Coturnix japonica: one gene and its partners. The protein of the gene in region 2 interacts with the protein of the main gene of each other region in a biochemical or structural test. Links are inferred from orthologs where the notes say so. Each region holds a gene or a part of one and is shown on either strand. Other genes may lie near its edges.

Evidence for each region.
Region 1: the proteins of ITCH (region 2) and NDFIP1 form a complex in vitro, tested with the Homo sapiens proteins (2 studies listed by BioGRID). The link is inferred for Coturnix japonica from reciprocal best matches to the Homo sapiens genes ITCH and NDFIP1.
Region 3: the proteins of ITCH (region 2) and UBE2G1 form a complex in vitro, tested with the Homo sapiens proteins (2 studies listed by BioGRID). The link is inferred for Coturnix japonica from reciprocal best matches to the Homo sapiens genes ITCH and UBE2G1.
Region 4: the proteins of ITCH (region 2) and WBP2 form a complex in vitro, tested with the Homo sapiens proteins (2 studies listed by BioGRID). The link is inferred for Coturnix japonica from reciprocal best matches to the Homo sapiens genes ITCH and WBP2.

Annotation. Positions count from the first base shown.
Region 1 is NC_029528.1:1,054,079-1,060,049, forward strand, and holds the start of NDFIP1 (NEDD4 family-interacting protein 1), read right to left. Parts: upstream 3,672-5,971; 5' UTR 3,528-3,671; coding exon 3,489-3,527; intron 1-3,488. UniProt on the Homo sapiens protein: Activates HECT domain-containing E3 ubiquitin-protein ligases, including NEDD4 and ITCH, and consequently modulates the stability of their targets. As a result, controls many cellular processes.
Region 2 is NC_029535.1:1,378,831-1,384,514, forward strand, and holds the start of ITCH (E3 ubiquitin-protein ligase Itchy homolog), read right to left. Parts: upstream 3,496-5,684; 5' UTR 3,380-3,495; intron 1-3,379. UniProt on the Homo sapiens protein: Acts as an Acts as an E3 ubiquitin-protein ligase which accepts ubiquitin from an E2 ubiquitin-conjugating enzyme in the form of a thioester and then directly transfers the ubiquitin to targeted substrates.
Region 3 is NC_029534.1:2,221,450-2,227,403, reverse strand, and holds the start of UBE2G1 (ubiquitin-conjugating enzyme E2 G1), read right to left. Parts: upstream 3,672-5,954; 5' UTR 3,478-3,671; coding exon 3,432-3,477; intron 1-3,431. UniProt on the Homo sapiens protein: Accepts ubiquitin from the E1 complex and catalyzes its covalent attachment to other proteins. In vitro catalyzes 'Lys-48'-, as well as 'Lys-63'-linked polyubiquitination. May be involved in degradation of muscle-specific proteins.
Region 4 is NC_029533.1:4,034,917-4,040,748, reverse strand, and holds the start of WBP2 (WW domain-binding protein 2), read right to left. Parts: upstream 3,672-5,832; 5' UTR 3,596-3,671; coding exon 3,537-3,595; intron 2,701-3,536; coding exon 2,592-2,700; intron 2,058-2,591; coding exon 1,922-2,057; intron 370-1,921; coding exon 277-369; intron 1-276. UniProt on the Homo sapiens protein: Acts as a transcriptional coactivator of estrogen and progesterone receptors (ESR1 and PGR) upon hormone activation. In presence of estrogen, binds to ESR1-responsive promoters. Synergizes with YAP1 to enhance PGR activity.

The DNA of each region.
Region 1 (5,971 bases), on a different chromosome or scaffold from region 2:
CTACTGTCACACAAGCTTTGCAATGATGCTGGACTGCAGCTGTAGCACTGTCTGTTCCAAGTCCTTTAACCTTTACAGAATGAATTTATTTTAATTCTATAACTACATTGTTACACAGAATCACCAAAACCTTCCAAACCCACCTGAGAAGTACAGCTGCCTGCAGAAGCTGCTGTTTCAGAACAAATCAGTATCTATCTACCAAGAGCCAGATGGAATCAGTGCCATGTTGCACAGAGGCAGCACAGCTTCACCCCAAATCCCAGCTCTCACCAGGTGCAGAGCAACACGACCAGTGGGGTGGGAAAACTCTGTGACTTAGTTCTGTAAGCCCCTACTGTTCTTATGTCAAAGGACACCACCGTTCTCATCTGGGTGCACAAAAGAGAAAAGAAAACAACCTGCCCTTTCTTTATCTCCCTACCATTCTTACCAATTGCAGGTATCTTCAGGCAGCACATCTTCTGCAAGCACCAAACGGCTCACCAAAGAAATGAAAAGCCACCGACATCACTAATTCTATCTGCTAACGTTACAAGATATGGGATATTCTGCACACCCACTGCAACTGAAAAATTAAAGACGAGCTTAATGCGAGCACAAGCTGGTAACTGATGTCTCCTTTCCTATCTCATCTCAGCCTTTCCAGGCAGAACACAAGCACTGCAGTGCTCTGTGGGTTCCAAATGTCCTCACTCTCCTATCTCAGGCAGCACATTTCTTCTGCAGTTCCACCAAAAGGAAACCAAACAAACGGAGAAATCTTTCTTCTTTACATTTCCCATAGACGCCTCCCATAACGGAATGATTCATGATCCATGTCAGCCTTCAACAAGTGGAACTGGAAGAAATACCACTTAAAAAGGAATCTGTTTGTATTATTTAACACACCCACCATTTTCTAGGTGGGTTTACATTACTCATATACATCACATATATCTTCAAATGCTTCCAGTAAAAAGCAGTTAACACAGAATGTAAATAAACCTATTAAAAGCCTAAGTATTTTTTCCAGAACAGAGGCTACTTTCAGCTCTAAGCACAAGATACAGCTCTGACACTGAGCTCCCAGCCCAGGGGATGCGCTCCAAAGGATTTAGGCCACCTAAACCCAGCAACATCCTGCATAGCCTTCCCAAAAGCAAGTCCAAGCAGCAATGGCATCATCCCCAGTCCTTCTGGGACACGGACTGCTGCATGCTGCAGCCTGCCCTGCTCCCCAGCACCACATCCTGCCTCTCACAGCCTGCACCGAGGGACAGAACCAGCCGCCCCACCACCCCCAGCACAGCAGGGCACACATCCCTCCATGGGTTTTGCCTTAGCTCCATTTGTGATTCCTCAGTGCGTTCAGCCAAACCGCCATAGCGTTCAGAAGCATCATCGCAAGCTATTTTCTGTTAGATTACCTAATGCCTGAATAAAGCACGAGGGCTGAAGATTATAGAAAACAAATCACGTGCCATAAGCACCCCTTTAACATAGCACACACAGAGAAACAGACACAGGTGGTGGAACAGGCTGCTGGGGGATGCACAGCCCATGCGCCCACATGGGCCCGCAAGGAAGAAACACGCGGGTTTTGAACTCAGCTGCTTATTTATTTCTGTTGTCCTCTGTGCTCAGTACCCCTTCTTCTGTTTGACAGCACACACACAGGGGATCCCACCCCTCACACTGTTCCCACACACACAGCTCCGTGCATAAAACCCCCATGGGGATGGATGTCAAAGTGCCACGCAGACAGGGCAGCACATTCAGGAGCAGAGCAGCTGCCCAGTTATGGGGCAGCCCCCAATGACACATCACCCCCCCAAAAAAAAAAAAATGTTCTCGAGATTTAGAATGTTCAGTTCTATTTCACTGCTTCATACTCCAATAACTTCAAAGATTAAATGGGAGTATTGGTAATTTCCAAATAATGCCTACACTTACAGATCCTGCATCCAACTCCAGCCCTTACGGATAGGAGCTACCAATAGAGATAGGCTACCAATTCTTTAGACACTCCACTGGCAGAAATTGCATTTGTTAGATGGACAGCAGTATCTAAAAACCTTGACATGTTCATGTTGGAGAGGTTCTCCCACCCTCCCATCTCGCCTCCATCTAAACACGAGCTCTGTATCTCCAGTTTCACAGCTCGCAGGGATTTTCCAGAGCAGTGCAAGCATGAGAAACCAATAACGTGCTTTACAACAACACAGATACCAGAGTTCTGACAGAGGGCAAGGGGGGGGAAAGCAACTTTTAAGCAGCCCAAAGTAATTCCATCTGTATGTTTCTCATCCTGCACTCAATTACAGCCGTCTTTCCCCAGGACCTCATCTTTAGCAGAACGAATCCTCTGGGGCACAGACTGCCTCTCTAATCTCTGCTGTACCACGCAGTGCTGCGCTCTGCAGCACTAACAGTGTCTGTTATGTGTCTGCCCCACGTGCGAGTGAGACCTGGTGAAATGACAGCTTCCCATATTTCTCTCTAAGGGAATCAGTGTTGTTCTTATCAGTCGGGCCTGGAGTGCCACCAAGAACAAGGTGGGAGCAGCCTTCAGTGATTGCTGTCACATATCTTCATGTGCTCAAGACGGCAGGACACAAAACCAGATCCCTTTGTAAAGAACATTTATGAGGAGGATTCTCAGGGCTGACAGGCAGTCAATTAGCAAAGAAACCTGCTTATTTGTAGCCAGCGTGGCTGAGAAGAACAACAAAGAAATAGATTGGTCTTCATGAGTGAAAACATTTGTGTTTCACAGGGAAAAAACTGCAAGATTTACTCAACTTTTACAAACCTGGCGTGTCAAAACCAGTGACATCCAGCGACAAGGATGAGACCAACACTTTGTCCTAAGAGAAGCTGCACCTGGCATTGTGAGTAGAGCACACAGCCACCAAACTGCCACCACAACAAAGCCGCAGCACAGCGGTACCCCCGGGGAGCACCAACAGCAGCCCACGCTTATGGGGAATTTCTCTCCCTCACCGTTAGCAGTGAGGGAGAGAGCACAGGGCCGGGCTCACACCGCCCGCTGCTGCTCGGGGGCTGGGCTGGGTTCCTGTCCTTCGGGAGGCCGGGAAGGAAGAACGCGCACCTGGGAGCTCTGCAGGCACACAACCCGGCCTAGGGGGATTTCAACCCGAGCCAGAGAGCACCGCGCTGAACGCACGAAACTAAATTAAGGCTCGTTTCAACACGACACAGCACGAGTTCGCTGCTGGGAACAATCGGCGCGGAGCCGGCCACCCGCAGCACGGCAGAAGGAAGGGCGGCATCCCGGCAAGGTCACCGCTGTGCCACCGCGCGGCCCCGGGGAGGGGCGGGGCTCCTCCGCCTGCAGCCCGGCCGTGCCCGCGCCTCGCCCCGCCGACCCCCGTCCCGCAGCGTCCCGCGGCCTCCACAGCCCGGATGGGTGCCGAGGCCCCGCGGCCTCCGAACGGACCCCCCCCCGCTCCCGCGCGGCCTACGGAGCCCCCTCCGCCCCTCACCTGCTGGTAGCGGCCGCTGCTGGGCTCGGCGGCCGCCATGGCGCTGTGAGGGAGAGGGCTGAGCGGGCGGCGGGGGCTCGGCGCTGCCCGGCCGCCTCCCGACGGAAGCTGCTGAGGCGGAGGCCGCGCAGCCGAGGCCTCTTCGCTTGCGGCTCCGCTCCCGCCCTCCCTCTGCCCGTCACGCTCGGTCGCGCCCTCCCCCCGCCCCGCCCCGCCCCGCCCCGCCGGCAGCCGGAGGCCTCGGGCCCGAGAGCACCGGGGCGGGCTGCTGGGCCTGGGGGTGCCGGGGGTGCTGTGCAGGGGGGATTTAACACTAGCAATCCGAAAACTCATGGTACCCCGTGCTGGATGGAAGTGGGTGCCGCCTTCATAGCAGGGTGGGACCGGGATGTGCGGACTGCCACTGCCCTGGAGCTGGTCACAGAATCACAGAGCTGAGAGTTGGAAGAGACCCACAAGGATCGCTGAGATCACCCCCTGGGTCCACACAGGGACACCCGAAACCGAACCCCGTGTCTGAGAGCACTGTCCAAACTTCCTGAGCTCAGCAGCCCCGATGCCATCACCATGCCCTGTTCCAGGGCTGTACCACCCTGTCTGTTAACATCAGTTCCAGACCTGATGTTACCTGCTCCCAGCACACACACAAAGCATTGCAGCCAAAGCAACCCTGAAATGCTGGCCAACTGCTCAGGAGGTGCTGTGAAATCCTGAATATCCACATCAAGCAGATGGTGCTGCAGACCCAAAGCCTTCCGGAGCAAGCACTCATCAGAAATCACACTGGGTTATACACTTGTTTATTCTGAGTTATTTTGCATTTGGTGTTATACAGGTTGAGGGGTTTTCCAGCTTGTCTAACCCTTGTTTTGTGCTTGTGCAGTTCATCTACAGCTGGGCTTGTGCAAAACCATCCACATCAGTCCCTAAGGTTGATAAGACTTAACTATATCTGCTTTAGGATGAGGAGGGCTGAATCAGCCCTAATGGGATTCTGAGCTGTCAATTCAGAGAAAGAATTCAATACAAACTCTGTCATAACTGTGTGATTACAGCTCTCCGTTCAGTACCATGCCTAGCCTGGGATCTGCTCTGTGTTCCTCATAGGACTGCATAGTTCACCCAAGCCCTAAAGAGTTGGGTAAACATTGCAGGTATCCTGCTAAGGGACAGGCAGGAATTGCAAAGGACTTTAGCCAAGAAGAACCTCCAAAAGAGGCTCCCGAGAAATGCTGTAGGCACAAGGAGAATGCAAGTTTATTGTAAGAAAAATAGCTCTGAAGGAGTTGGAGTGAGAGCTGAAGGCGCTGTCACAGTGTTCATTCCCCCTTTCTACAAGATCCACAGTTTGCACTGAGAATCTTCTTTGCAGTAAGAAGCTGCCCTGATGATGTACGCGGATTTGCTGTTGAGGTAGGATTATATCCCTAAGTATAGCTACAGCCACAGTGGTAATTAGCTTTATGCTGATTGACTTGGACATCTGAAAGACTAAAACCAGACACAACCTGTGCATAACCTCAGCAAAGATGCTGGACAGTATCCCAAAGAGATGGTGAAACAGTTTGTGCCAGTCATTAGCTGGAAGCATATCAGCACCTAATTAGGCTAACTAGCCTGAGCACGGCTGACACGGGGAGCTGACAGCAATTTCTTCCAGCTGCTCTCGGGGTATTTGTCTTATTGTATGAGGGACAGCAGCTCAGATGATTCTGTGGTTACAGCACATGACTGGTTCTGCTTTCATTTCCTGCATGGTTTTAGGCAAATCACTTCATACCTCTGTGTTTTCTAAACCTTCTTCCAATACAAAATGTCTTTTCTCCCAGGAGATGCTCTGAAGCTTGAAGTCATTGCTTGTCAGTGACCTCCGCGTAGGATATGGGATATGCTGTGGAAGTGTTTGAAAGCAATTGAAAATGTTAGAGGGCTTCAGTATGGAGAGTCCCCTGAAACCCTTAAGCTCCACAAGTGTTACTTTGATTACAATGTATGACTGAACAACAGAGGGCACTTTTAATCTATGCTTTGTAACAGTATTGAACTCTAAACTATAAAGCTGGGGGGGGAGGAGGGGGTTTGTTAAAGCTAGACTTGTTTAAACAAGGAATAATCAAGACATTAAAACTTAGTTCTTACTTGCTGTCTTCATAGCAGTAAATGATTCGCCTAAGGAAAACCTGAAGACAAATGTTTGCATGAGTTAATGGATCAAATGAAGCCTCTGAAGCTCTCCGCTGTAATAGCTCAGTCTGTGAGCAGGCTGCAACTGGCAGGCTGAGAGAAAATGGTGGCAGAATGTTGTTCATGTAAAGCCTGCATTGTCTGCCATTACAGAGCTGGCCTCAAAGAAGATGGAAACTTCACCACGAGTCTCATCCAGAGACTGCTGGCATCAGCAGAACTGCACTGTGCTGCCCAAAGAAACGCAGTGGAGCGCTATGAGCCGCGTTCTTCAGTGCCAGCAGCTGCTGGTAGTGCTC
Region 2 (5,684 bases):
CGATGCCACTTAGCATTCCCCCTTTTCAACAAGAAACAGTGTTTCACACAGCAATACTTCAATGATCCACCTGAAGCAAATAGGCCTCTTCTGCTCAGTGACACCACTATTTAAATCTAAGCTCCGAACTTCAGAATCACAGATCTAAATGCAAACATGTAAGTACTGCTGCTTTGCACTGAAACAATAGGCACCTTCCAGGAGCAGTTTAGAATAGCTCAGGCAGGTGGGCGGAAGGCAGGCGTTATCAGTTCCTAAATGGGAGGACTGGCATAAAATGTTTTTTAAAAGGGAATAGCACACTAACATAGCGCCGGGTTGTACTGTTGGGTTTGGTTCATTTTAAAGGACAAAAGATTTGAATAACCAGCGTAACAACATCTCAGATCGTGTTTCCTCAGAGGGGGGAAAATCCTTGATGTTTATCAGGAAGTTTGTTCTATGTCCCACTATAGTTAAAGCAGAAATTCCAGGCATAACTTAAAAGGGGGCCCTAAGAAACAGGGCCTTGGTTACTTTAAAATGCTCTTTCCCTGTCTGTCGCATTATTTTCATTTCTATAAAGTGTAATTTGCAATTCTGATGAAGAAAAAGATCAATCCCTCAGCTGCACAACTCTGCCCGATGAAGTAAAAGCTGGAAGCCAATCACTTACACAACACTCAGGTCCTTATTGCTATTTTTCTCATACAAAAGGCATGAAGAGAAACTACCATTCCCTCTCCAGAAGGCAGGCATAGAATTAGCTCTGGTGACAGCCATTCCACAGCACAAAAACACAAACAAGCTGATGGCCTAAAATCATTAAAAATACTTAATTTGGGAGGCAGTAAAAAGTAAAATAAGCCAAACAATCCTCCCAAGCAAGACTGTAATCCCGGCTTGTCTGCTTCCTCTTCTGAGGTGAGCCCTCACTTCAAAGCTCACCTACAGCACAACAAAGAACAGTTACTGAAATCGACCCAGGCAAGTGCTCTGCTCCAAGACATACCTGCACATTCACGCTCCTTAGCTGTGAGGGCTCAAAGGAGTTCCTCCACTTACACACAGAATGACAGAAATTAGAACATTAAATGAACACAACTGGACTGCCAAACAGAAAGGCTTAACAACGAGCAGCATCAGTGACAGCGCACCCAGAAGCTCCAGCATTGCGCTCCCCTCCTGCTTTAACCCCACTGACATCTTTTCCTTTATTTTTTAGGACAAACTGTATTGCTTTTGCTGCAATACAGAAAGCATTTTAACAGGGTTGAGTATGTTTACTACTTTGTTTATATATCTCTCGCATTTACAGATGTTTCTGTAGACTCTGTCACTGACTGATACCGATAATGCCATTAAATTATCTAACTCCTGCAGATGCAAACATTTTTTCAGCCTCACTTAACACTGTTTTCAAGCAGCCCTAATGCAAGTTTTCTTAGAAACAATGAGAAACAAAGCCTCCAAGAGAAGCACCTCGCTGCTCTAATACCTGCCCTCCCACCTGCTGCTCAGCTCTGCAGTTCACTCTCACAAGCTGTTTTGAAACGTCCAACCAAAGAAACCAAACAACTCTGTATTTCAGGAAATGGCTCATCACACACACACATAAAACACCCTTAACTTTACAACAGGAACAAAAATAGAGTGAAGAAAACGAGGCGATGTCTGTTAACTTATAAATTCATACGAATAATCTCTCGATCTCTCTTAAGACCCAAAATAACTGTTTAATCTGTAAGAAGCTTTCAAAGTTAGCACTCAGAAGTCTCAGTTATTTTCCACTGCAACGTCACCTCTTACACATACGGCATCAGTTCTTTGTTTTAATACAAGAAAACTCACTCCAGGTTAGAATGCCGCATATTGCTCTGATGATCACTTGGAGGTGAACGTATCCAGAGCAGTGATTAAAGCTGTCAGTCAAACCACAACTAAGAACGCACAGTAGACCAAGTTCGGATTCAAATGGCTGTAGCAAAGAGTAATATAACTGTAATTAAATTAGAACTGCTTTGGACTTTCACTAGAAGAAGAAAGAATTAAAATTTGTTCTTCAAACAAGATGTCTGAAAGGCAATAAAACCCACTGAGCTAATGACAGATTGCAGCCGATGTTTCATTCTTCTTTATGCATAACTTGTTCGGGTCAATTCAAGCAGTAGCTGGACCAACTGCCAGCCAACTGGCTCTCGATACTAATTGTCTTCTCAGGAATCCCAGTTCACATTTCTCCTCCTTCCTCTGCCAAAAGGATGAGGGTAAAGGGGCAGAGATTAAAACAAAGAGCAATGAGGAACACTGAGAAAAAGAATGTTTCACAAAGAGAACTGTTTGTGATCCTTTCTATCCTACCTGAGCTATAAAGATTAACTTCTCTGGGAACATCTTCCGAAGCTTCAAGGGTAAAGAATGCCACGCAAATGACAACAGATGGCCCAACTGCTACACTCGGTTTTCTCTCCCCACATACATAGATGCTAAGCTTGTTTATCAGTTTAACATCACAGATTACACCTATCGCAACAAGCTGAACTCCTGGATTTCAGAGCCAATCTAATAAAGGCGTTCACACCCTCAGACGGCACCTTCCACTCGTGCTTGGTTGTTATTGCCACACAAGGTCACAGACCCCTGTGAGGAAGCAGGAGAGTTAACAGCCAGAACTCGGCCGTGTTTCCAAAATAAAGCGGCGGCAACAGCAAGAGGGAACACACACCTCCAACCACACTCGTGCTGGGAAACGCTGCTTCATGGCACAGCTGTTATCCCACAGGAACAAAGCAAAGAACTCCACACAGCAGCCTCCCCCGGCCGAGACCCCGAGAGACAGACAGGACGGGGCTGAATACAAAGGGAAGGGGCCGTGTTGCGGAACTGCCGCTGAGAAGCAGCGCCTGGGCCGGGAGCGATCCCGGAGCGCCGAAAGGGCCAAGTGACCGGTCCCGGCTCCCGGGAGCCCGGGCAGGATGGCGGAGGCCGAGCGGGGCGGCGACACGCGCTGCCGGGGAACAGCGGGGCCGGGGGATGTGGGCTCGTGCAGGAGCCGTGCAGCCCCACACACAGGCCAGAGGTCCCGGGACCGCCGCCGCAGGCACGGAGCGATACCGCCGGCTGCGGCCGGGCCCCCGGCTCGGCCCGGCGGGGAGGGGACAGCGCGGCGCGCCGAGGCCGCTCGGTGAAGCTCCGTGGGGCCGGAGCCCCTCAGGCGGCCGGGCCTACAACCGCGGGGTCCCCGCGCCCCCCGCCCAGAGCCGAGGAGATCGGCGGAGCCGCAGCGCTGCCCCTGGAGCTCCCATCCCCGCCGCCACCCCCCGCCTCCTCGTCCTCCTCCTCGTCCTCGTCCTCCTCCTCCCTCCTGCCCTGCCCGTGCTGCAGAGCCCGCTCCCCTCACCGCGCACGGCGCCGTTCAGCTCCTCCGTCCCTCGGCCAAGATGGCAGCCGCTCCGACCCAACCCGAGGCAGCGACTTTCCAAAGTCGGGCGCAATCTGCGCACGCGCGGAGTCGCCGGAGCCGCCACGGGGTGGAGGTGACTACAACTCCCAGCGTGCGCCGCGCCATGCTCCGCGCATGCTCAGTGCGCCCCGCGGTGTCGCCCGGCGGGGTGGGTTGTCGGGTGCGCGGCCGAAGTGATCGGCGGGTCACACACAGCGACGGACACAGGGCAGCTCACACAGCACAACTAAGGCAGCATCTCTGCAGGTGAAGCCCAGGCCAGCACGCAGCTCTGGCTGCTTTCCCCAGCAGGACAGCACCCAGCGCCCTGTTTGCATCACATCTGCTAAGGCAGATGTGGATTAATGACATTCAGTATCACTTTTCAGATACACCATGTAAATTCTCTGTTATCAATATTTTTCCTCCATTTGTAACTTGCACTGGGGCTAAAAATGTTTTTTCAGCATCAACAACCCTAATCTCTTTTTCTATTTTCCAGCTTTTGATGCTTCAAGTCAAGTTCCACCAGTGTTACCTGTAACATCCATAAAGAATGCATTCCGGGTGCACACACCACTGATGATTTTCTGCTTCCAGGACAAGATGAATGTTGTGAAATCATCCCATTCAAACTCTTTCAGAATTTTCCCTGTTACAAATCACAGCCTTTATATGAGCTGCTACACCAACACCGAATAATGACTTAACACCAGACTGAGGTAGCAAATGCAGATGAATTTAATTCAGTGGCAGAAGCGACCCCAGCACCTCCTCCACCAAACTGTGTTCCAAGCACTTGCCCCCAGTGTGTCCTGTTGAATTGGGGCTGCTCCCTTCCAGAGGCAGATCTTGGACCATTTATCTTTGTTGAGTTTCTTGAGATTTTATCCACATTCATTTTGGACTTCACTGTGTCGACAACAAAAAGGCAGTCCTGGTACTGAAGGGACCATGGTGACCATGGAAGCAATTCTGATGGTGTGAACAATTACCTGTTCTGGGCTAGACACAGCCCCAAGCAAATATCATACAGTGACTGTTGAGTAGTCATCAGATGTCATCAATTTCGATTAGCTGCTAAGCTACTTTAAATCTTTAATAACGGCTTAACACTTCTGCCTGCCTTAAGGTTTTGTGCAGCTGCTGATTTAGAGGTGTACGAATATTTCATTTTCACAGCATTTTCTTTATGACTGCATTTCAAAGTACTTTGTAAACATCTATAGAGCAAGTCTTCTTAAAAACAAGTCTCCTGGAATTTGTTTTAACTGGATCATTGCTGCAGAGAATGAGTTATAATTTAAGATCAAACTTATTTTGAAATTATCATCTTTAAGAAGAGATTATTTTTCGTGCTGCCTTATAATCAGTTGTTTTCACTTGTGAACATAGACATAGTGTGGTGGTAGAGCGTGCATACTTCTAACCACCTTTAAAATCAGTATTGATTTCTTTGGTTGGGGATTTAGGAAAATATCAGTAGGAAAATATCAATTAATTCCTGCTAACTGAACAAAACCTTCAAGGTTGGCAAGACATTGTTATTACTTCCAAGTAATCTAATTAAAGGGTAAAACAAAGACACTTAATTATTTTATCATTCAATTGATCTCCAGTGCATAATCAGAGAACCAGGAGGAAGTGATTAGCTGTCTTGGGAAAGGAAATGACACAGTCATCCAAAACAGGATGTTTTAAAGGGAGGATAAGATACTGGGAAGATCGTTACTGTCTTCCCACACAGAAAGCTGAATGTGATTTTTTCCTGGGACTGAAGAACATTAAACAACAAATCTGCTGGGGATTTTTTTTGGGAAATGATAGGGAATGCTGATGCTGGGATGTGTGAAACAGAATCATAGAATGAATCATAGAATAGTTTGGGTTGGAAAGGACCCTTAAGGTCACCTCACTCCAACCCCCTGCTATAGGCAGGGACACCTCCCTCTAGACCAGGTTGCTCACAGCCCCATCCAGCCTGGCCTTGAACACCTTGAGATAGGGGGCACCCACAGCCTCACTGGGCAACCTGTGCCAGTGTCTCACAATCCTCACAGTAAAGAATTTCTTCCTGATATCTGGTCTAAATTTGCTCTCTTCCAGCTGAGAGCCATTTTCCCTTGTCCTATCACTACATGCCCTTATAAGAAGGCCCTCCACACCTTTCCTGTAGGCCCCTTCAGGTACTGGAAGGCCACTGTAAGGTCCCCCTGGAACCTTCTGTTCTCCAGGCTGAAGAGCCCTAGCTCTCTCAGCCTGT
Region 3 (5,954 bases), on a different chromosome or scaffold from region 2:
CTAGACAAGTCTGCCCACTCTAACAAGTCCACGTCAAGGAGGATTCGGCAGGAAGATTAAATAAAAGCATTTAGAGAAGTACCTCAGCCTTCAAAACCCTCAGGCTTGACAGCTCTGGAGAGCAGAAGAGCTTTACATTCTGTTGTACCAATCAGCTGTTAAAGAACACAAAGTTCTCAGGCTGTAGGAAGAACACATTTTACCCACACAGCTCCTACACCGACCTCCTGGTGCCATAGTTCTGCTGACCCAGTGCTACACATTCAATGCTGCTGGGTTTATTCCACCCATTGGAAGTTCAGAGGGATTTCATTTACCTTTTTTTTCCCCCCCCATCTCTTACCCATAAGAATAACTGGGCAGAGGCAACACAATGTCTCACTATTACCCAAACATGTTTTTCAAAGAAAAGAAAAGGCAAAAAGCCTCACACCACAAACAACAATAAAACACAACCAACCATACACCTGTATGAACAAATACCTCTTCTGCATTTTAAGATAACTCCAGAAGCTGCTGAAGCTTACAGTCAGGTTGATCTGAAAAGCAACTATTTGGCTTCACTGATAACTATCTATGCAGGAGGGCCTCCCTCCAGCTCTAAGCCTCCGCTCAGCTCCAGCACTGCCCTCAATGGCTGGAGATCCCCACTCAGTATTTCCTTTAAAACACTGAAGGAAAACAACCAGCCAATCTAACCCACATTCTGACTACACTGATTTGAACTGCTCTCGTGCCTCGCTGGGGGCAAGCACATGTAGGTATAAGCCAGTTATATCAACCCTGTGGCGATATGGATCATTATTCCATCTGCAGACGTTGACCCTACTTAGCATTAAAAAAAGCCAACAACAAAAACACACACCCTATGTTCCTCAACTCTTCTGCAACCATAAGGGCCTCAGGTCCAGTTATCCTCCCTCCACACCAAATAACAGCCCTGACTTCAGATCTCTCACAGTTTGAACAACACTGATAAAGGAGTGACCTCGACCAGTTTAAATGAGTTCAGATGACGTAACTCATCTCCACTTTGCTGCCCTCCAAAACCCAACCATTAAGTACAACCCAATCACTCACCACACTCAATACACAACCCAAAGCTGCATGCAGCATTAGGACTGAAATATCAGTCCCATTCAGTAAGAAAAAAACCCTCAGCATTGGTTTTAGTTTTGAGGCAGGTAAAACAGCGTGGGTACAATGAGGGATACACTGGAGCAGATGAGAGCTGGGAGAAAACAGCAGCGGGGGGGAAGGTGAGACCTCACAAGGCTCAGTCTCTGCACTGCACCTTCAAGCAGCCTGCCATTAGAAAAAGCAGTTCAGGGCCTTGCTTCAGCTCCATTCAGATACAGCAGAGATTATCAAATATGGAAGAAACAACATATTTCCCTTTCCAGGTCAGTAACTACTCCAGGCTGAGCTCCTGAAGAATTTCAGACTCCCCACACACTTCAGTGCATACACTCAACCACTTTCTATGCACAGAAGCACAAAAATTACATAAAAGTATATGCACATTTCTGTATAATTTATGTATATATTATTTATATATTTTAATATCTCTAAGTAGATGTAGGAAAAAAAAAGTACTGATGGTACTTAAAACCCAAAGGCCTCACAAAGGGGCTGCACGTTACATGCAAATGGCCGCAGTGCCCAGTTGACTCAGTATCAGTAATAAGGCAACTGGAAGGGTTCACTGCTTTTACACGGCACGTGAAGCTCTCAGAAGAGAGAGAGCAGAAAGACTGAGGGCTTCAGTCAGTCTAAGAGCCTGCAAGTCCAGCAGCACATCCAACCAACCTTCATTCAGAGGGCAGGTCATAAAGAACTACACAACACAGGCGGTCTGAAAGTTTCTTGATGGTCCCTTTGACACTCAGCTCAAGTTGGGAACTTCCTTTCACGGTGTACAATTATTTAATTAACACACAAATTCCAGACCGTCTCAGGTCACCAAACGCTTGTTTGTATGAAGCTAAAGAGCAGCCTCAACACCATCTCCTCCCAGTGTGATCACTTACAGAAGAGAGAACTGTTGCAGAAGCAAGAATTTTTGGAGCTCCTGGTTTAAGCCTATATATATTGATAACTGCTTATGTGAACAAGTAGATGCCCCAGCAGATGTTCAGGAATGCCGTAACGCCTGCTGGGCCCACTGACACGATCACACCGCGTGGAGGAAATCTTTTTATTTACAAAAATCACCTTCAATAAGTTTTAGCCCACCGTGCCCCGCTGCTTGGCCGGGCCTCAGCTCCACCTCGCTCCCATCACTCAGCGCCATGCAGCTCCCGCACTCTGTTATGCAACTCCGCAGTGAGCAGAGCCCTAAAGCCACCGGGGGCCGCATCCCTCCCGCAGGGACCCCCCGCACGGCTGTGACCCGTCCCTCCGAAGCGCTACAGAGCTCTATTTGCCCGGCTTTAGGTACACCTAGCGAGCATTTCCTTATCTGGCTATGGAGCAACTCATTTTTACGTAAGGCGCACAGCAGCCAGCGGAGCTGCCCGAGGTGCCGGCGTTGCTCAGGGGCGGTTCGGAGCACACACGTGCGATGGGGGAGGGAGCGTTCAACCCCCTCCCTGCTCCGCCGGCTCCGTGTCTCTTTAAATCTGGCAGCGAGCGACACATGGAGCTGCATTGTGCGCCCCGACAACCAGCGCATGCGCGGCGCCGCCGGGCCGAGCCAGGACCCCACCGCGGCCGCAGCCCGGGCACACGGAGCAGCGCGGGGCCGCCCGGGACACAAAGGGAGGGGGAGCCGCCGCTATGGGCTGCCGGCCCGCAGCACCACGGGCCGCTCCTCGCCCCACTGCGCTCACAACAAAGGGGGCAGCGGCCCTTCCTTCCTCACGGGCACGGAGCGGGGGGCGGGACGGGGGCAGCTCAGGTCCCCGCGGCGAGCTCAGCCCTGAGGCGCCGCTTCTGGACGCGAGGAGGGGGAGGATAATAAAAATCGAAGGGAAAAATATATATGTGTTATATATTATATATAGAGCCGCCATACAACTCCCACCTCCGCTTCTGACAACACCGCGCGGCCCTCCCCGCAATGCACCCCCACGGCGAGGCCCAGCGAGGGGACAAGAGGCCGCGGAGGCCCGAGCGGAGCCGCTGCCGGGACGGGAACGGCGGTGGAAGCGCAGCCCCCACAGCCCGCTCCGTACCGAGCCGGCCCCGCTCCCCTCCCCTACTCCCCTCCCCTCCCCCCGGCCGCGCTGCCACGCTCCCCCTCCCCCCCCGGCCTAGTTCCCTCAGCCCCGGGCCGGGCACTGAGCTCAGGGGGGGTTGGTGCTGGTTAGGCCGCCGCCTCCCCTTCCCCCTCACAGCCGCCCCGCTCCCCGCCGTCCCCCTCCTCCCCCTCACGACCCGTCCTGCCCTCAGACTCCGTTCTCCCGTCTCCTCTCTCCATCCGCCGGTACCTGCTAGCTGTCTCCGCAGTAACAAGGCGGACTGGAGCTCCGTCATTCTCTCCCTTTCTATCCTCGGAATGAGTCCCGAGGACGGCGCGGCTCCCGGTGCTCCCAGAGCCCGAGGCGGCTGCGAGTGGCCCCCTCAGCCCGCCCGCACCGCCGCCACAGCACGCAGGGTCCCTGCCAGGGGCGCGCGGCCGTGGCTCCGTGCCGCCCTGCTCCTCCTCCTCCTCCTGCACTCCGCTCTGCGCAGACGCACTTCGAGCAGCTACAGGCCCTTCCGCGCCGCCATCTTAGGAGTGGCGGCTGAGCTGTGTGTGTGTGGAGGCGGGGCGAGGAGAAGCCAGGCCGCCATCCGTTTCGCTGAGGGCAGCGGGTCTCCTGAGGGCAGCAGCCTTCAGTTCACTCACGGCTTTTCCTCAGTGATGGATGTGTTTAAGCGTTCTTTGCCAACCTTAGTTGATTCTAAGGCTGCTGTGACATAAAGAGCCGTAACGTAACAAAAAACAGCGTTTTGTCCTCGTTCGAAGCCATCTCCCACGCCCAGAGGGAGCCGTGGTTATTATTTGGCTGGGGGAAGCAGTGCTGGCTGATGGAGAGTTGCTCGCTGTGCGGGATTGCTGCGCTGTGGGGCTCTGAGGGGCTCTGTGGGGTCTGTGGGTGGCTCTGTGGGGTTCTGTGGGGTCTATGGGGTCTGTGGGGTCTATGGGGTCTGTGGGGTCTATGGGGTCTGTGGGGTCTGTGGGGTCTATGGGGTCTGTGGGGCTGTGGGTGGCTCTATGGGGTTCTATGGGGCTCTATGGGGTCTATGGGGCTCTATGGGGTCTATGGGGCTCTATGGGGTCTATGGGGCTCTATGGGGCTCTATGGGGTCTATGGGGTCTATGGGGCTCTGTGGGGCTCTATGGGGTCTGTGGGGTTCTGTGGGGCTGTGGGTGGCTCTGTGGGCTCTGTGGGGCTCTGTGGGGGCAGCACGGGCTGCTATAAGGTGGCAACGGTGTCTGAACGCCACCTCAGTGAGTGCCCGCCTGGTACCATGAGGTGAACGCGGTACCCCCCGCTGGAGTCTCTAATTTTACCGATTTTACGACTAAATTGTTAAAGAAATGCAGTTTCTGGCCGATTGGTGAGCAGTTATCATCATCGGAAACTGGGAAACTCCCCGCTCTGTTGTAAGGAGCTGCTAAAAAGGATTTATCCTGCTCGAAAGTAACACTCTTCATTGTTTTCGACCACGAGGAATTCCTATGTGAACATCAAACTTGGCTTTGCAACAAGAGTGAGAAACCCAGGATAGACGAGATGCTTTACTGGCAATGCTGGAATCTTCTCCCCTTGTTGTAATTCCGGTTATAGTTCGAGCGTTTCATTACTGCACTCCAACAATTAATCACAAAGCCATTCTCAGGCATTCCGGCAATTCTGATTAAATCCGTGTCCTCTTCAATGATTAAACTAGGATGAAAAAAGACATCCCGCAGCATTACTGAAATTCATCTTATAAATGGTGTTTGTAGCCAAAGGAGGTCTTTGTGGAAGTCCTTCCTGCTGTAGGTTAACTCCAATTCCCAAATGTATTTATTTGTTTATATTTTGTTATTGCTTCAGTCAGGCTCGCTCAATCTTATAAAAGCAACCTACCCATTTAAACATAGAAAGCTATCATGTGCAAGTTCATTTTGTAAACTTGATATGCTAAGAGACAGTCACCCAGATTGGAATTCAGGCGTGTTGATGGGAAGTGACATTATTCAGGGTGGTATTTCTGTTGCAGGAATACAAGGTAGGCTCTGTTCTCAATGCCAGTTAAGCCAGCACTAAATTCACTCAACTTTCTGTACCTGAGTCAATTCAGGCATGAGCACACGTTTCTGACAGTGCTATTAATAGAGGACCTAACTACAGCACTGCAGACTGAAAGGTTACATAAAAGAACTCTATTTCTATTACAACGTAATCAAAATAATCCTGAATTTCACCATGAGGTCACTCATTGGCAGTCACCTTCCTTAAGAGGGAAAGTCTCCCATGGCTTATGTATGATTTCCTTGTGAGGAACATAAAAGACTGTGGGCTGGAAGAGGAAGGATATGGTTTAAGCAAGCATAGATGACCTGGATTCCTTTATTCTACCAGCATCTTGCTTTGCTTGACTATCTTTTATTTGACTTTCTCTCTCAGTCCCTCGCTCACAAGTCACAGATTACACTGGGCAGAGCTGCTGTTCATGGGAGGATCTTCAGTCTGGATTCACACTGTTAGCAACATCTGCTCCTCTTCTTCAGCTCCTTGGCACAAGCAGGAAGCTGATGGTAAGACAGACACAGCTCCCTGAGACACGTTCAGCAGCGTTCCTCTAATTTGACATGCTGGAATCAGCAAGAAGACATTTTAAATGGCAACTTCTTCCTAAATTGTATGAAAAAGCAGCACCCAACCAAGTTATTCACCCAGGAATGGCACCTCTCGTGTCATGGCATGACTTTTGGATAAGGTTTCTGGTATTAAGCTGCCTTGAGGAGGATGGTTATG
Region 4 (5,832 bases), on a different chromosome or scaffold from region 2:
AGAAGCCAAGACCTACAACAAACTTAAAGAGGCCTTATCTGAAAACCAAAGAAAGCAAAACAGAAAAAATCAAGCAAGGTCCAAAGCTAACAAACCCACAGCTTGCTGGACGTGAAAAAGGTGTTGTTTTAAGGCAAGAAAGTTCCAGATACAGCCTGAAATTCACGTACACTGGAATTGAACCCATCCCAGCTTAAAACTACCCTTGCTGTAAAATTAAGGCAAGGCCTCCTGAAACCACAAAAGCAAAGAGCAGAGAGCATTAAGCTCCCCTACCTTGGGATGCCACCTGTAGCATACGCTGCCCAAACTCTATAGCACCCCCAGCTGTAAAGGTCATCTTGAAGGTGGCAGATCCTTCCCAGCCGCCTGCAGGGAGAGAAAACAGAATTCACAAAGAAAGAGAAGCCATTTTGATGCTATTTAGCTTCTGTGCTTCACCTACAGAGGCCCTATATTTTTTTAAAGAGCTTATCCCAAATATCCAAGAAAAACCTGCAGAGAGAGCAGCAGAATTCCCTTTTGTATCAGAAAATTCCACATTGGACAACATTTTCTGATCAAGAGATACCTGAATAATAGGACCATCAGTAAGGGAGACATTCAAAAGCTTGCTGAAGTTGTGCCTATCACACAGGCTGCCAATAGCTCAAGCTATCAGGAGGGCTGAATTTACTCTAGCTTTGTACTTGATTAGTGCAGAAGACAGGGATTCTGTTAATCCCATTTGCTAGAAGGGTTTTGTAACTACACCTAACTGCCCACTGCAAATTAGTTTGGGAGTCTGAGCGCCCAGTGAAGCAAAGAGCTTAATGAAAAAAACAAGTATCGCATAAATCCATTAGAGTTCATAGAAAATATTTCAAGTCAGGATAATAATAATTAAAAAATAAAAACGAATTAGCCACTTCTCTTATTACAGGCTAAAAAAGAAAACCACGCACAGCCCAGAGTGCCAACAATGCATCAAAGCAGTAGCTGTGTCAGTAATGAAACAGGGATACAGAGATAAAAGAGCCTTTTGAGCTAAGCCAGACTCCTCTGGCTGTTGCAGCAACATCCTCATTAACTAAGCCAGCCTCTGGGGGGGGACTCACAGAGATTTTGTTAAAGCAGTTTGCCTTTCACACAGTTTAGTGTTTGTCCTTAGTGCTCAGCTCTCCTCTCACACTGGATGGTCTTGTTTTGCTGCCATAGAAAAGCTACAAGGCTGATTTCAGGGTAATAGGCTGAAGCCCTCTGAGCAGTGCACTGTGTTGCAGTGCCACAGCTAAGGGAATAAATCAGGCTCTGGATGAAATAAGTGCCTTGGTAAGAAGTAGAAGCATAGGACAGTGATAAAAGTATCTCTTAGGAAAAAAGAAGTCTACCACAACTCCTCATTGAACATATTATAAAGCTGCCCTTGAACATTCCCTAAGCTCAAGGTAATCCATCATCTTCCAAACAATACAGCAGTGCTTTTCCTAAACTGCACAATAAACGGATGTTGGAGATTCACACCTCGAAATCCGTACAGATCCAGAACAGACCGCGAGTGTTTGGCACAGAAGGATCTGGATGCATAAATAAGAGAGAGGCTGAACTGACCAAGGCCAAGCAACGCCCTCAGTGCTGCTGTCACAGCCTGATCCCTGCTCTGATGTTTACTCAGTGAGATCACTCGGCTGCCTGAACTCTGAATTTCATACAGAGGGCAGGAATGAGATCAGTTACACAGCTAATCTGTTCACTGTAACTGCACAGAGCTGACAGGGGGGAATATTTTCAGCCGCTGGTTTCAAAGAGAAAAACACATTTTAGCAATACTGAAAGAACCTATGCATCCAGTATCCACTTCACATTACAATGAATAATTACTTTACTAGGAACTATAGAAGTTCTGCATCTTAGCTCAGCTTTGTATCAGTGCTATACGTACCTCCTGCCTCTGCTTTCACTGTACCCTTGATATAGTTTGCTCCAAAGACAGGCTGCTTAATCTCACAATCTTTCAACAAATAAAAGGCCATCCCAAAAGACTGCAGAGCATCCTTTCCCTTCGATATAAAGATAACCTGAAAAAGAAACAACATTACAAAGGGTGTTTAAAATGAACAGGAAACACTGCCCCGGTTTATTATCTGTGGACATTGCTGGTGGACTGAATCTGCCTCCCACACTCAAAGATCCTTGTAATTTCTGCAAGCCCCAGGGTTCTCAGAACTGTCACAAGGGTAAAATGATGCCTCAAGGCCATAAAGCCTTCCAGAAGGATTACACACTTGCTCAGATAACACTCCTCCCAGTTCCTAGAGAACTCACAGCTGTGATTTAGTAGCTGAACTGCTCCATTCCGCATTTCCAAACCATCGCTCATTTCCAATCTTGAAGATGCCTGGTGGACTAAAACAGCTGCCCAGGTAAGAACTAATGTCATGGTTGACAACTAATCAGATTGATTATCTTTTGCCAAATAGGCAGGACATGCAATGAAGCCACAGTGCTCCCCACAAGGGGAGGACGGGTACATTATCCAGACCTTCATGCACGTGTAGAAGTGCAGAGCCATGAAGAACTCTGATCTCTTTCTAATGCCTTTTACTACTTACTCGGTAGGGAGTCAAGAAAACACTCCCTTTCTTGGTCCCTTTGAACGCCTCAGGCATCGGTTCAGCATCACTGAAGGTCATTTCTACATGATCATAGGTCATCAGAACGCTGCAAACAAGATGAGAAGAGGCACAGTGTTAGAGCTTGGGGCAGATTCCAGCACGTAGAGTTCACTGACTTACCAGAACTGCCTTAACCTCAGCCCAGCACCCAGCACACATGCTCACTCTGCCTTGCACTTCTGCTTGCTCTCAGCCTCGTGTTCCTTCTTCAGTGAGCTGATACAGCTGTTTGCACAGCCGGCTGGTGAATCCAGTCAATTAAACTCAAGTTCTCAATGTATTTCTTGCATTATGTTGAATTTCTGCCCGATCATTTCCCTAAATTGCTTCACCACAAGCAACACAACACAGGTAGGGCTGCTTAGCAGGAACCCCTCAGCCTGGGTTATGCAATGAGGCGACCAGAGGTCACAAGAATCCATCTCAGTCACTATAACGTGATTGGGATCATTCCTCTTCTCACTCCTATAACCCCACACTGACTCCTTAAGCCTCAATCAGAAACCAGCCTGATTAAGACCAATAAAACACATCCATATGGATGCAGGTAGTATTGTCTTAATATGACAACATCCACGTCAGGTAAACCAGGCCCTAATGGTGTGCACAGCACATTTAGACCTATTACCATCCCCAGTCGTACAGAAGGGCACCTGGGCCACGAACCAGGGCCTATATGACGGCAATGAGCCACATAGGGTTAAACAAGGGTTAATGAGCCACATAGGGCACACCAAGGGTTAACCCCAACATGGCGGGGGGGGGGGGGGGGGGCGGGTGTTAGAGCCCCTCAGCCCCATATGACCCGCAGGAAAAGGCCATTTTGGACGGAAAGGGGCTCGGAGAAGGAGAGAGAAGAGGGCTGGGCCCCTGACCGCTCACCTCTCGCTGTTGTTAACGATGACGCCGCCGCCCTCCGAGTGGTTCCTGTTCAGCGCCATGTTCAGCGCCGCCTCCGCCTCACAGAGCCGAGCTCGCACTGCGCCTGCGCGAAGAAGAGCCCGCTGGGCGCGCGGTGCGCTCTGGGATTTGTAGTCTCGAGGGGGTGGTGTTCCCCGGGCATGCTGGGAGTTGTAGTCCTCTCGCTCGGCAGCCATGTTGGTTTTTTGGGGTGGTGTAGGTCGCTCCTTAAGGGTTATTTTCTGCCCCAAATCTCACCGCTTCACTCAGCCTCGTCTGCCGTCCCCGAGGAGCAGTGCCACCAATTAACGCTGCTATTAATTCCCCGAGCTCCAGCCAGCTGCTGAGATCATATTGACTTTGCTATACACAACCCAAAGAGCCGGGCTCCTTTTTGGGATAACCCATTTCCCATCCCATCAATCACCCCATTCTGCTCCCTCTGACCATATATAATAAAATGAGCTCAGTTCTTTGCAGCCTGCGTGACTTGGCAGCTCTTCTGCCAGCTTCCTATTTTAGATAGTACCACAGAGCTCACACAAACAAAGCACGGTTTGCCCAGTGCCCTGACTGCATTCCAATTCCCTTTTATTTTCCCCTTCCAGGACTTTATCTTTGGCTGCACTTTGCACGTTTTCATTGCTCACAATGAAAACGCCATTAATCTGGTTATACTGTGCACTAAATGAGGCTCAACCCCTTTAAAAGCAAAGGTTCCCCCCCACTTTCCAGGCTGTTTCAGTGCCCATTTTGTGTCCCAGACACCTGGGTTCCTACAATTAACCCACTGAGGGTTAAACTGGAGGGGCCAAAAAGTCACCCCATAGACAAAGAAAGCTGCTCTGTGGGCGAGAGGAAATCCGGGGACAGGAAAATACCTGCACTATTGGCACAGCTACAGTTTGGGTATAACCCACTGCCTCCAACTGGAGCTGACTCCTAAAACAATCATAACACCTGCATAACTGCATTAAAACCGCTGCAGAATGACATGTTTTGAAGGACTCCTCGTATCAACCCTCAGCATAATGTGTGAATATGTTTTAAGAGGTGATATGAGGCTAAATTACACCTTTTTTTTTGTATGGATTTGAGCTTTCCCTGCAGGGTTTGCAGCCCAGCCCCTCCTCCAGTGCCTGCAAATCCCCAGGGGCAGCGAGGAAACTGAAAGCTCCATAATGGAAACCAGACTGAAATCAACTCAGAGACATAAAGCGTACAGTTCTTGGCAAGAAAAGCACAGCTTTGTGCCTTTTGTATCCGCTTTTTCAATAAGCTGCAAGTTTCCCTTTTAAGAAATGCTCATAACCAACAGCCCCAATTCCTCTCCTATTAAAGTCAGTAGCACACATACACAGCTTCCCCCAATGCTCCCTGAGCTAACAGTGCCCCCAGTAATGCTCTTCTCATAGCTCTGGCTGACGTTTGGTATTAAGAAACTCAGCCTTCATGTCAGGAAGTGCTGGCGTGCATGGGAAGCTCCAGAACTTCATGTATACAGATTAAATCATCGAGGGAAAAAAACATCTCATCTCTTCAACTTTGTTATTTCCAAGCCAAGGACAGAAGTCGAAGGGAGACAGAAAGAACTGAAACAATTCATTGCTTGGAACCTCCCCAGCGCTGTCAATATTGTTGTTGGATTCCAGGATTCTTCCGTTTCTTTTGTAATCGAGCAATAGGGAAATAAATGGGTGATTGGCACAAACCCTGCAGACACACTTGGAAAAGAAAACTTCTGTTATTCCCTGCCGGATGCACAGGACACAGAAAGAAAACAAGCAGAGAATAGATAACAGGACAACTGCAGTGGTAATGTTTAATGGTGGATCAGAGCCTCTATCGCCATCATTTTATTCTGTTATGGTGTCTCCACACACTGTAAGAGGTTCGATAGTAACTGCGTATTTTAAACGTCTAATTAAAGAGAGGAACACTGTGTGACAGCAAAAAACACAACTCAAAGGAGCAGGGAAAGGCTGTTTAAATTGCAAAGTGCTGCTTATCTGAACTCACCACACGTGGTGCTCACAGCAAACAAACATCAGAGATCCAGGGCTGGTATAATGCACGTCTCCTAATCATTCCAGTTTAAACCCCAAATAATTGGTAACGCAGTCTGATCTAACACCTGGGAGAGGCATCTTGCATCAATTAGAATGAGCTTTATGCCCTAAACCAACAGGATTTCTAGCACTTCCAGCCTGGATGTGAAGCAGCAGGGAGGGAGCATTATAGGAGCCCTCCGGACCCCTCTGTGAGCCGAACATCAGCA